Tamandua tetradactyla: one gene and its partner. The protein of the gene in region 1 interacts with the protein of each later gene in a pairwise test. Links are inferred from orthologs where the notes say so. Each region holds a gene or a part of one and is shown on either strand. Other genes may lie near its edges.

Region 1 (7,270 bases):
CCTGTGATTAGACAATTATTACCCCCATTTACAGGCACAAAAACTAAAGCATCAAGTCTCTAAGGGACTCAAGATAACAGAGTAAGCAATAGAGGCAGGCCTTCTGATTCCAAGTCTAGTGCTGTTTTCCATCACATAGAGAAGGGGTAAAATACAATTCGACAACCTTTCCCTTCTCCTGACTCCATTCTAAAAAAGGCAGGTGTTTTTACAGACCTTCCCCAGAGAGGACCTGATCCCAGCCAATATAAACTCCACCATTGAAAAAGGAAAGGAACCACACAAGCCCCTGGCTCTTCACATCATCGATGTGTTAGTCGGTGTTCACACATGAAATTAGGCATCACAGTCCACAATCAGAAAAACTGAATATTTCATTTACACACTAACACTTCTGTATATCAGAGACTGTCCTCAGGTTTAACCAGCCGAGAGGAAATACTGACTTCTGACCTACTTGATCCCCTTCTCTGCCCTAGTGCAGACCTGGTTCTTGGAGCCAGCTGTTCAGATGTTAAGGCCTGAAGGATTCCAATAGCCCAGAGCCAATAAAATACACTTGTGAGGCTCTCTGATGCGGGCGCTACATCAGAGAACAACTTCAAATAGTGTTATGTAAGGTCTGACACATGATGCCTGCATTTGCCTCTCTGGGTTTCTTCCACCCAAAAAATGTATTTAAAAAATCTATAACTGGACATCACATGAACGCTTTCCCTCTCTACCCCAGAGGCACAGCTCCTTTTTTGCTTATTTGGCTCAAGGTAGGCATTACTCTCTTCCCAAGGCCCCAAGTTGGAGGGAGAAACCTCAGGGAACACAGGAGGAAGAATTGAGTGCAAGGGGACAGGAGAAGCAGCAGGCTCGGCTCCACAGAGGTGAGCGGCACCTGACAGTGAGAAACACAAAGAGAAGCCACCTCCAGCCCCAGGCTGGTTTTGAAGCTCTGCTCACCTACCAATCTTTCATCTCATTTGCACCTGAAGCTAAGAAACTTTCTGGCTTAGAATCATTCTGTCATCAAGGCCCAATGGTTTGAACGAACACTGGTTATTTGCAGGATGAAGTAGGAGAGGAGAAGGGAAATCCTTCCCATCTTGATCACAGACCTCTCCTCACCTGAACAAAGAGATCTTCCTTTGAGTGGGCAGCAAACTCTGCACTTGCTCCTTGGTGTACCCGAGGTGCTTCAGCAGCGATTTCTGCTTGCTGGTGTACAGGAGTTCGGCAAGCAGGAAAGGCTCTTCCTCACTCAGCTGGTCCTCTATCAGGAGCTGATCAAAAATCTCAAAGGCTGAATGGCACTCCTCTAGCTTCTTGTGGGAGAGGCGGTCTCTGCAGAGAAACTTGAGGGCCTCCACATCTTGGACCCCTAGGTTTTCATCAATAACCAGGAGTGTCCGGCGAAAGTTCATGCTACAGTTTTCCTCCCAACCGGTGCCCAGATCTGGAACTTGAACTTGAGTTGTCATGAGCAGCCTGAAGGAGAGAGGTGGGGCAGGGAGTCAGCGAGAGAGGACCCACTGAACCCCAACCCTCCAGGCCCTCCCCCAGTCCTGGCCTCCTCGGTTCTGGGCATTAGATTTTCTTAGAAGTGCTGGAAAATAAAAAATGACTGTAAGACCCACTGCAAATACCAACAGCCCAGAACACTCTACCCCAATATGAGCTTGCACAATAACTTTCAGTAGTTGTGGAAGAAGTTTTATTCTAATTTGGTTTATCCTGATTTCTCTCCAAATCAAAATATCACCAGTGCTAGTTCATCAGGAGGCCTCATCTCTCTGGGGCCGGTAACCCAGCAGGAGCTCTTGGGCCCCAAATTCATTTCCAAGAAATAACACTTGGCCTTATGTTTTAAACTTTAGAAATAAAGAAAAAAAATCTGAGGGTTTATCCTTCCGAAATGCCCAACAATCCAAGGACAAGGCGGTGACGTTGGGGGAGCATTGTTATATCCTGAGCTTCAGAGTGTTAACCAGAACAGGGCAGAAATGGAAGCCATAATCCTAGGCCCTGGAAGAAAGGGTAGCTTTAAACATCAGCGTAGGAAGTTACAAATGACCCAAGTCCATGTTTACACCTAATGGGTTAATAAACTATGGTATTCTCTACACTAAATTTTATTCTAATCAGATGAGCAAAGCACTGATGAAATTTTTCACGATTATATCATTCATTCTGTAAGAACTTGGAGGTATATATTCACTATGCAAGATGGCTATTTTTAGAAACAGAAAACTACTTTCTAAAGGAAGGGCAATATAGCAAAAGAAAAAATAATAGAGTGGTTATATCAAGGAAGTATAGCTATAGATAATATACATTTTTTTTCTTGGCTCTTGTCTGAGTTCTCAAATTTTATGCAATGAACATATATTAATTTTGTTGTTAGGAAAAAAAATGCCATTTTTCATAGGATCATTTGTGAGGTTCTCCCTTCTGGTAGCCATGATTTGATGGAATCATCAAATAATTCGTATCTAACGCGTCATATATTTGCCTTGCATTTTCCTGAAGATTCTGATCTCTTGACTTAATGAAGCTCCTAAACTTGGTCTCCAATTGTGGATCAGCATATGCATATTCCTGCCAGTAAAAAGCCATGTTGGAGACTCCCTGTTTTGTGTATGTGTGTGTGTTTTGACTTTCATTTTCCCTGGCACAGCAAATAAACGCAGGCAGGAACAGTGCCATTGCTGACAAGTTTTTACAAGTTTTTATAAGCTACAACATGAAGCGAGACCCCAGGCAGTGGAGGATTGGGGTTGGGGGGAAGGGGGCAGGACAGGGAGAGGGTGTTACATACCTTTAGACCAAATTCCACGAATCTTCCAGAGATAAGTAGTTCTTGGAAAAAATGCCTGAAATTTTTAAAGGAATTAGAATCCTCCGTGTGCTCCAAGTTCGAAGGAAGCTCCCATTTGCGCGGGAAGAGAACTGAAGACTTGTTGCTAGCTGTGCAAGAAAAAACTGGATCTTCTGGTTTGGGGTTTGGGTAACCTGATATTAATTTCCTGCTGATGTCATCATCGCCTGTCTTTTCCCTCCCCTTTTCCGAGGTTGGTTGGGGTAACACTGACAAACAGCGTCTCCTAAAGGCAAATTCACAACTTTCTTTTCCATTGTAGCGTTCAGAACTTTCCCAGGTAAAGCAAAAGGCTCCTAGAAATGAACTCCTGATAGTCATTAAGTGTTCCAGGCTTTCTCTCAGATCACAGTCCCCTCAGATAGTCCAAAAGGGAAGTATTAATTGTTCCAACTATTTCCTTTCCAAAGTCACTTTACCTGTAAAATAAAACAAAATCCAAAAAGCTCAAGGTTCATGTACAAAAAAATGTTTTTTTAATTAATTAAAAAAATTTTTTTTAAATACCAAAAAACACCTAACAAATGCAAATATTCGTGACTCCGGATCATTCCATTCTACATATATAATCACTAATTCACAACATAGTTGCATATTCATCATCATTATCATGATCATTTCTTAGAACATTTGCATCTATTCAGAAAAAGAAATAAAAAGGAAACAGAAAAAAATTCGTACATGCCATACCCCACCCCTCCCCCTCACCTATCATCAGCATTACACTCTAAATTTACATTTACGTTTGTTCCCCCTATTATTCATCTTTATTCCATATGTTTTATTCATCTGTTGATAAGGTAGATAAAAGCATCAGACACAAGGTTTTCACAATCACACAGTCACATTGTGAAAGCTATATCATTATACAATCATCTTCAAGAAACATGGCTACTGGAGCACAGCTCTACAAAAAATTAAAGTTTTAAAAGTCAAAAAGCAGGGAGGTGGGAGCTGGATTACAAGCCTTTTTTTTTGGAGGTAATTCCAAGGGTCTAAAACATTTATCAATTTACAGTAGACAAAACTGATGAAGTCTGTCTTTATGGTACATTCAGTTCAGCAGGAAAGAGAGACTTGGAAGATATTATTTCCAATAATAATAATAATAATATCACATGTACCATGAGCCAGGTACTAAGTATTTGCAAATATTTACTCATTTAATCATCCTAACAACCCTAAAAGGTAAACTATTACTATGATCCCTGCTTTAAGATGTGGAAACTAAGGCACCGAGAGGTTTATTTACCCAAGGTCACTCAGCTAGCTAACAGCAAAGCCAAGATTTGAGTGAGGTAGTATGGTTTTTGAGTCCATGCTTTAAGTCACTACACTATGATTAAGCCAATTCAAATACACAGAGTTCTGGGAAGAAGTACAATCTTAGAAAGTTGTTTGATCTCTGAAAAAAGCAAACTGAATGAAAGATGCTTTGATTAACCGAAGTGCTAAACACATTTCCGCATTCTAGGCATCCTCCAGAGAACCTCCACATTTAAAAAGACAAGCCCCTTTTTTTGTCTTGGTCAGTTGTTCATTTATGCATATTTAATTCCTTCGGCAACATTTAGGGAGGCAATTTAGTGATACTGTCACTTCTTATCCTGTTCGTAAAGTACATTAACTCTCTCAACTTTTATTTAATTTTATGAAGTAGTCAGCAAGTACTTCCTATGTATAAAGCAATGAAATGGGCACAATGGGAAAGCAAAAATGAATAAAACACAGTGCCTGCCTTCAGTTATAATTATGCCAACTCCATTTCTTGGCCCCATCTGCTTTGATTAACTCCCACAATAACTCTGAAGATTGACATTATTATCCACATCCTACAGGAGAGAAAACTGAGATTCAGAGAGACAAAGCATCATGCCACTAGCACAAAGCTTGGAAGAGGTGAGAAGTCAGGACTCAAACCCAGGGATATCTGACTCCAATTCCTATGTTCTTGATCCCAAGGTTGTTGCTGCCTGTACCCCCGGACCACAATGTATTATCTGCATCACTGGGTAGGGTGTGGGGACGTGCCACAAGGAGCCCCCACATAGCTATGGGTGAATCTAGACTGGGATGCCTGGAAAGGCTCGTTGAACGAGGAAGTATTTGAATTAAGGTAGAGGTACAATAGAGACACAAAGAAAAAAAACTAAACTTTGTCCTAGTATTCCTCATACTCAAGGAAAAGGCTTGAGCCAAGTTACAAAGATGAGATTGTGTTTGTGTAGATATTTGTATTCAGCATTTCACACTTCCTAACATTTATTCTCATTATTTTTTATTTTGTTTTGCTTTGTCACACTTCCTCTCATTTAGAACCCAATTACTGAGACTGTGCTAATAGTGAGTTGATAGCAAATAGAATAAACGTTTCGAACAGCCTCTTCCCTGATTGGTTGCTGTGTGGGTCATGTGGGTCCATGTGAAGGACCAATCAGAACCTTTATAGCTTTTTGTAGTGGTGAGCAGCTGCCATTGCGGGGGTCATAGCCAGGAAATATCTGGCTACTTCTCCTTTTATACAGTTCTCCTCTGCTGGGGTGGGGGTAGGGAAGAAGGATTTCTCACCCAGGGGGTTGCGGGCGAGTTCTCTGTGGTGCTGGAAAGTTCCCCAACCTCTGTTCAGGGAGGTTTTTCAAGAACAAGGACACGAGAACTAAAGAATTGACATAGTGAAGGGCGTGGCACGTGTGTATGAGCTGAAGAACTGGTGCAATAAATCTTCCTCTCCACCCCTTAGTTCATAAGTGGTGGTTCTTTTGACTCCCCACACTGTCCGTCCCAATTTCCAGGACCAACTAGCACTCCACCCCCACCACACTCCCCCCTCCCCCACAATCTTTATCCACCCACTCCAGACCTTCCCAGAATCAGTCTTATCTGGGTTTATGGGAGCATAGTGAAGCTAAATTCTGAAGAAGACTATCTGGTAAGGGTCTCAGGGAAGATTTCTGGATAGTGAACTGGCAGGAGATTGCAGCTAGACAAGCAAAGTATGGCCCATTTGGTGTTCACTATAACTACACACTAATTTTACTTTAAGATTTCTCTTTTCTAATTACAAAAGTAGGGAAAAGAGGGGAGGCAGATAACTTCCAATATTTAATGTAGGAGAATGAGAAAACATAAATGCACACAGTCATCTATAGTCCTATAACTGTTAACATTTTGGTGTATATCCTTTCACGTTTCTCTGTATATATTATTTTCCAAAAATCAGATTATGCTGTACAAGGCTTTTTTCACTTCTCTTCGTATCATTAAATAGTCTTTGAAAACATGATGTTTAGTGGCTGAGTGATATTCTCTTATATAGTTGTACCTTAGTTTACTTAGCCAATTTCCAATTATTAGTGAATTTCTGATTTTTGCTATTGTGAACAATTCTGCACTGGTATTTTTATAGATAAACCTTTGCATATATTCTTTTTTTTTTATTAATTAACGGAAAAAAAGAAATTAACCCAACATTTAGAAATCATACCATTCTACATATGCAATCAGTAATTCTTAACATCATCACATAGATGCATGATCATCGTTTTTTAGTACATTTGCATCGGTTTAGAAGAACTAGCAACACAACCGAAAAAGATATAGAATGTTAATATAGAGAAAAAAAATAAAAGTAATAATAGTAAGAACAAAACAAAACAAAACAAAAACCTATAGCTCGGATGCAGCTTCATTCAGTGTTTTAACATGATTACTTTACAATTAGGTATTATTGTGCTGTCCATTTTTGAGTTTTTGTATCTAGTCCTGTTGCACAGTCTGTATCCCCTCAGCTCCAATTACCCATTATCTTACCCTGTTTCTAACTCCTGCTGAACTCTGTTACCAATGACATATTCCAAGTTTATTCTCGAATGTCGATTCACATCATTGGGACCATATAGTATTTGTCTTTTAGTTTTTGGCTAGACTCACTCAGCATAATGTTCTCTAGGTCCATCCATGTTATTACATGCTTCATAAGTTTATTCTGTCTTAAAGCTGCATAATATTCCATCGTATGTATATACCACAGTTTGTTTAGCCACTCGTCTGTTGATGGACATTTTGGCTGTTTCCATTTCTTTGCAATTGTAAATAACGCTGCTATAAACATTGGTGTGCAAATGTCCATTTGAGTTTTTGCCCTTAATTCCTTTGAGTAGATTCCCAGCAATGGTATTGCTGGGTCGTATGGCAATTCTATATTCAGCTTTTTGAGGAACCGCCAAACTGCCTTCCACAGTGGTTGCACCATTTGACATTCCCTCCAACAGTGGATAAGTGTGCCTCTTTCACCGCATCCTCTCCAGCACTTGTCATTTTCTGTTTTGTTGATAATGGCCATTCTGGTGGGTGTGAGATGATATCTCATTGTGGTTTTGATTTGCATTTCTCTAATGGCCA
Region 2 (6,981 bases), on another chromosome or scaffold:
AAAGACACCCTGTTCTAGTTTGCTAGCTGCCGGAATGCAACACACCAGAGACGGATTGGCTTTTAATAAAAGGGGATTTATTTTGTTAGTTCTTCAGAGGAAAGGCAGCTAACTTTCCACTGAGGTTCTTTCTTATTTGGAAGGCACAGGATGGTCTCTGCTGGTCTTTTCTCAAGGCCCCTGGGTTTCAGCAACTTTCCCCCGGGGTGACTTCTTTCTGCATCTCCAAAGGCTTGGGCTGAGCTGCAAGTGCTGAGATGAGGAATGCCGAGTTGCTTAGGCTGTGCTACATTGCGCTCTCTCATTTAAGCACCAGCCAATTAAGTCAAACATCACTTATTGCAGCAGACACGCCTCCTAGCTGACTGCAGATGTAATTGGCAACAGATGAGGTTCACCTACCGTTGGCTTATGTCCGCAGCAACAAGATTAGGTATGCTCACCTGGCCAAGTTGACAACTGAATCTAACTAACAGCCCCCCCACCCAAAAAAAAATCAATTGGCCAAAGAGATGGAAATAGCCCAAATGTCCTTTAGCAGAACAAGTGGCTAAACAAGCTGTGGTATGTACAAACAATGGAATACCACACAGCTGTAAGACAGAATAAAGTCATGAAGCATGTAACAATGTGGATGGACCTTGAGGACATTATGCTGAGTGAAATTGGCCAGAAACAAAAGGAAAAATACTGTATGGTGTCACTAATATGAACTAATATTAATAAGTGAAATTTGAGAGTTGAAGTTAAGAACACAGGTTATCAGGAGATAGAAATAGGGTAGAGATTGGGCATTTGGTGCTGAAGGAATACAGATTGTATAACAGAATTGACTGTAAAAATTCAGAAATGGATGGCACAATAGTACCTGATGGCATCACAATAATATAATTGTAAGTTTTGATATGTTGTGAAACAATGGATAACAGAGAATTAAATATCAAGAACATTAGATCATGGAATTATTGGATACAGAGTAAAGATATGTATATCTCAATTATTTAAAGATATGAAATTGAAAATATGAGAAAATGACAAGACGACATGAAAAGGAGTCAGAGTTTTAAAAGAGGAAAATTTTGAACTTATAGAGATAAAAAGTAGAATAATTGCAGTTAAAAATTTAATAGACAAGTTAAAGAGCATACTAGAATAGCTGACAAAATAATTAGTGAGCTGGAAGTTATATTTGACACCTAGCACACAGCACAGAAAGACAAATACATGGAAAATATGAAAAAATAGTTTAGGATCATGGAGGATAGCGTAAGAAGGCCCAACAGACATCTAATTTGACCTTATAAAAAAAGACTAGAAAGAATATGAGAGGCAATTTCCTCCCTATCTAATCTTTTTTTTCTTACATAGGCAGGCACCAGGAATTGAACCCGGGTCCTCTGGGATGGCAGGCAAGCGTTCTTGCCTGCTGAGCCACTGTGGGCCGCCCCTCCCTATCTAATTTAAGGCATGAATCCTCAGATACAATAAGGCCAATAAATCCTGAGCAGACTGAATGAAAAGAAATATATTCTCAGGCATATTTATATATTCAAATATACTTTTAATCTAATATTTTCCTTTTATTTATCCTTTATAGTACGTTTAGAGCATAATGTTGATTTTGTAAAGTATTTATGCAGTAAAGGAAGCAAAACAAAATATTTGTGATTAAAAATGGCAATGGGAAAAAGGTCTAAAATATGGGCAAAGATTTAAGTCAAAATATAATAACTAGCATTTTTATAATGCTAAAAAATATTTGAACATTAAAGCCTAGAAATAAAAACTGTTTAAGTAAATTTTGGTGCATCCATACATTAGAATATTGTTCGGCCACTCTAAATAATGTTTATGAAAAGTTTGTCATGGCATGGGAGATGTATGTGACATAATGACAAATTAAAAAATTGGAATTCAAAAAATAAATGGCAATAGGTTGGATAGAGTTAAGAACCCCGAGTCCAGACTGAAACTTATTCAACCATATCCATAACATTCCACTACAGAAACTTTATGAAAAATCTTAGTAATCACTAAACAAAGAATTTCCCTGCCTTTGTTCTTAGTCTTACATAGTTCCTTTCTCCTAAGGTAGCTTTATAGCTTCTCTCCAACTTTCATGGCCTAGTCAAGTGCACTGCCTCCAGCAGCCTTTCCATCTCACCAACCCAGGGTGAAACCTGAAAGGTTTATTGTCTATAGCTTTCATTGGGCAACTTATCATACACTGTTTTGAGACAGAATTGTTGTATTATTATTTAAAGTTATTGTATGAATATGTTACCTCTTCAACTGTAATCTCATAGTTTTTGTTTCTCCCACAGATTTTTAGGGGCATCTGAGGCAGCCAATACATATTTGTGGATTGCCTGAAATACTACTTGCAAAATAGACTTAAGTAATTGCAATTTTAAAGACTAAAGAGCCTTATTTCTGTTCTCTTTAGAAACTGAAATAGAGGCTGATTCTATGTGTTTGGGCAGTGCAAATTCTAGAATTTTTTTGTCTCTGCTAGGTACCAGTGAGCTGATCAAAAAGGAAGTAAAAGCCATAACAAAACCCTTTCAACATTGTTCTTATCTCAAATCACAGCAAATGGCCATTTTTTTCCATTCAAGGACTGAATGTCAAATCACATGCAACTAAATGCTGTTAGTGATAAACCACACTTTTTCTGTTAATAACATTTGTAAATGTGTATATTTGATGGCATCAGATATATAACTTTCAACATGTGTTTGAAAATTACCACTAAAATTATTAACCCACAAACACTGTGCCAACCTGGACCCTCGACCTGTGGTGAATAAAACTTCCCTTGTCTCTACAGCTTGCCGTCTCTACTTCCTTGCCCCAAGGAAAATGTAGTTTCCTTTGAGACTACTCATCTTCCTTCAGTTTCCATGACAGAGAATAAGGGTCAGTATTCTTCTCTTTCTCTCCAGTGGAACTCCCAAAATAATATTCCCACCCCTCAGGTAAATACATCTCTTCTTGAGTGTCTGGTCATCCCCTCATAACACTCCCCAAGCTCTTTCTCACCATATATGGATATCAATTGTCAAATGTAAGTCTGTAGCCTATTATGTAGCTATAGTTTTGCTTTATTTTAATCTAGATTTTTTTTTAAGGATTCAGAACGTCTGATCTAGAATATGAAGGAGACAGGGTGGTAAGCTAATGCAAATCAAGGTCATTGTCCCAGAGATCTCAAGTATGGACAGTTAGGGCCCTGGCTGAGAACTGCAATTTGGGGAGGTCAGTGCGATTCCTGTAATGTCTGAATAGTCAGCACATGGGCAGTCCTGGGACCCAGACTGCCTGGGTTTGCTACTTATTCCCTCTCATTGCCTGGGTTTCATTGTCAGTAAAGTGGAGGTAATGATAGAATTTACCCCTCAGGGTTATTCTGAGGATTAAACGAGTTAATAAAATACTCTGAGCAGTGCTTGGCACACAGCAAGGGAAATGTAAGTCTTGGCTGTTTTCGTACTGTCTCAACAATCTCCCTATAAAATACAGAATCAAAACGTTTATTATTGTTCAGTCCGTTTTTTCACTCAATGTTATATGACATGTTTTATAAATTTCACTTTCCGACCTCGCCCCTAAAAGGCAACTACACTAACAACAAAATCCGATAGTCGTCTTCAGTCCCTTTCCCTTCTCCAAACCTGCCATTTTCGGTCTCCCACATCATCCCAGCTTAGAATTAACTAGTGAAATAATGAATGACCAGAGCTCATTTGTTTGCTTATAGCCCACGTCGTCTAATCTAGTTGAACTAGATCCAGCGGCTATCTCTGGGCTGTCCGGGAGGAGGAGGAGGAGGCCGGACACAGGGCAGGGACCCGGGTAGAGAAGCCACACCCCTTCCCCCCGGCCCCTGCCGAGCAGTGCAAGGGTGGCCGGAAGTGCGGCGCGCCGGGGTGGGGAAAGGTGACTTGAGAGTCAAGCAGCCAATCAGAAACGAGTGTCCCACCGGTGAAGGCGGAAGGGAAGTGGTCTGGTTCCGGACGCCGCGGCTCGCGCCGCCATCTGTCATCTCAGCTCCGGCACCAGCAGCCCCTCGCCCCTGCCCCGCCGCCTGTCTCCTCCTCGGCCGACTCTGCTTCCCGCCCTTCCACCTCTGTGCCCGGTTCTTGTCGCTGGCTTCTTCCCCCCATGGATCTGGTCGGAGTGGCATCCCCTGAGCCCGGGCCCGCAGCGGCCTGGGGACCCAGCAAGGTGAGTGGGGTCGGGTTTGACGTACCTGCCCTATTCACCTGGGATGGTTCTTTGCCGCAGATCCTGGAAAGGGCTCCCCAGGCGACTGGGGAAGTTGTAGGACTGACCCGGACTACCTTAGAGAGGGGAGAAGCGGCTGCCAGGCCAGCATTGAAGTCGGAGTGGGAAGGACTGGGGTCTGAAACTCCCACAGGCCACTCTGGGTGTCCTTGATCCTTCTTTAGTTCTACACCTTGCGTTTTGAATCTCTGTACTATGTGTTGAGCAGTCCTCGCCAACATAAAGCAGTCCTCGCCAACAGATATTTATGTTTGAGGAAAAACAAGCATATCTTGTTTTTCACGGGCCAAATGAGTCAGCGCAATAATACAAAAAAAAAAAAAAAAAAAAAAAAAGTTGGGGCGAAAGATGGTTTAGGAAGCTGTCTCCTTAACTTGACAAGTGTGGTTATGCCTGTTGGTAATTTGTTTTGTAAGTAGTAAAAGATAAAACCAGGCACACCCTCCCTTCCCCTCACGCTAATTCTCAGTCGTTCACTAAATACTGTGAAACGGTTACGAATCCAGTTATCTGCCTGTGCTTTAACATTTAAAACTTTTTCCCAGAATGGCAAAAGGAAAACATTTATTTTACATTTGATCGGTGGCTTTCAGGCTCCTCCTTTCCATGAACTTTTGTTGGAAAAATGAAGACTCTTCTGCCACTTTATTGAGGGTTTGCTTGAGACCAAAAGCACTTTGACTGGGATTTTGTGTTCCTTAAATTATGATTGTGAAGGAATCACTCTTTTCGCTTCGTAATTGTTCTTTAGGTGCTAACACAGAAATTAATCTTACTGGATCTTCAGGCTAGGTCTTAACAGAAAAGGTATGTGTGTGGGGGAGATAATTAACTATTAAATAAAGGAAAATTAATTTTATATAAGTTCTTATTCTGTAGATAACTTTAGGGAGAATCTAAGATGTTCCATTGGCAAATTGGTTGCATCTGCAAGTGATTTTTTTAAAACTTTTATTGTAAGGTATGACATTTATACAAAGCAAAGCAATAAAAAAGCAATAGTTTTCAAAACACTCTTCAACAAGTAATTACAGGACAGATCCCAGAGTTTGTCATGGGCTACCATACAATCTTCTCATATTTTTTTTCTTTCTAGCTGTTCCAGAATATAGGAGGCTAGAAGGCTTAAATTTTTTTTATCATCGCAGTCACCTTTTTTTCCTTTTTTTTTTTTTTTTTTTTTGTGAAAAATAACATACGGACAAAAAAGCTATAAATTTCAAAACACAGCACCATAATTAGTTGTAGAACATACTTCAGAGTTTGACATGGGTTACAATTCCACAGTTTTAGGTTTTTGCTTCTAGCTGCTCTAAGACACTGGAGACTAAAAGAAATATCAATTTAGTGATTCAGCATTCAAATTCATTTGTTAAATTCTATCTTCACTGTATAACTCAACCATCACCTTTGATCTTTCCATCCCTCTCTTTAGGGGTGTTTGGGCTATGGCCATTCTAAATTTCTCATGTTGGAAGGGTCTCACTAATATGGGGTAGGGAGATGGAACTATCTGATGTTCTGGAGAAGCTAGGCCCTCTAGGTTTCAGGACTTATCTGGACCAGGGACTCATCTGGAGGTTGTAGGTTTCTGGAAAGTTACTGTAGTGCATGGAACCCTTGTGGGATCTTATATATTGCCCTAGGTGTTCTTTAGGATTGGCTGGGATGGTCCTGGTTGGGGTTTGGCCGGTTAGAATAGATAGCAAGGTCTAAATGAAGCTTGCATAAGAGCAACCTCCAGAGTAGCCTCTTGACTCCATTTGCCCTCTCTCTGCCACTGATACTATATTAGCTACACTTCTTTTCCTCCTTTTGGTCAGGATGGAATTGTTGATCCATGGTGCCAGGGCTGGATTCATCCCTGGAAGTCATCTCCCATGTCGCCAGGGATATCATGTCCCACAAAGGGGGGAGAGCAATGATTTCACTTGGAGAATTGGGCTTAGAGAGACTGAGGCCACATCTGAGCAACAAAAGAGGTCCTCCAGAAGTAACTCTTAGGCATGTCTATAGGTAGTCTAAGCTTCTTTGCTACCTACAGAAGCTTCACCAGAGTAAGCCTCAGGATTGAGGGTATGGCCTATTGATTTGGGTATCCCTAAAGTTTGACATAGTATCAGGGGATTCCCTGATGATAAAATTTAATTGTTTCATATCCTTTCTCCCATCCCTCAAGGGACTTTCATCTGCAAGTGATTTTTGTGTATTTTTTTCTGTGAAAGCCCTGTTTTAAGGTTAAGATTGACAGTCATAGGACTGGTACTGGTAAATATATACTCTACATTTAAAATTCCTCAAGTTAAGCATCTATAAAGTCTGATAAAATTGTCAAATGGGACAAACTGCTCAGGATACTTCCTAAACACACAACAAATTTCACTTAAGAATCAAATTCATTAGTATAATATTTGATATCATTTATATTCTCATTTAAGGATACAGCATAAAAACTGTCAAATTCCATTTTCATCATTCAACAAATAAGATGGTCTTGGGGTTTATTGATGTCATACTGGGAAGATACCATTTTGACAGGCAAAATAATTAGAGGCTGCAAGTATCACTTAATCCTTTCCTTCACTGAATTAAAGGAAGACCAAAGTAATTAACGAAGCCTGCATGGAGGAGGTAGGGATTTGAGGAAGGTCTTGAAAAATGGAGAGAATATTACCAGTTATTCTCAAATTTTCT

What was found.
Region 2: the proteins of CASP10 (region 1) and RIOK3 interact in binary tests that used the Homo sapiens proteins (3 or more experiments, as listed by UniProt). The link is inferred for Tamandua tetradactyla from reciprocal best matches to the Homo sapiens genes CASP10 and RIOK3.

Annotation. Positions count from the first base shown.
Region 1 is NC_135329.1:175,723,350-175,730,619, reverse strand, and holds the start of CASP10 (caspase-10), read right to left. Parts: upstream 3,001-7,270; 5' UTR 2,810-3,000; intron 1,480-2,809; 5' UTR 1,473-1,479; coding exon 1,120-1,472; intron 1-1,119. UniProt on the Homo sapiens protein: Involved in the activation cascade of caspases responsible for apoptosis execution. Recruited to both Fas- and TNFR-1 receptors in a FADD dependent manner. May participate in the granzyme B apoptotic pathways.
Region 2 is NC_135344.1:60,013,200-60,020,180, reverse strand, and holds the start of RIOK3 (serine/threonine-protein kinase RIO3), read left to right. Parts: upstream 1-3,978; 5' UTR 3,979-4,164; coding exon 4,165-4,227; intron 4,228-6,981.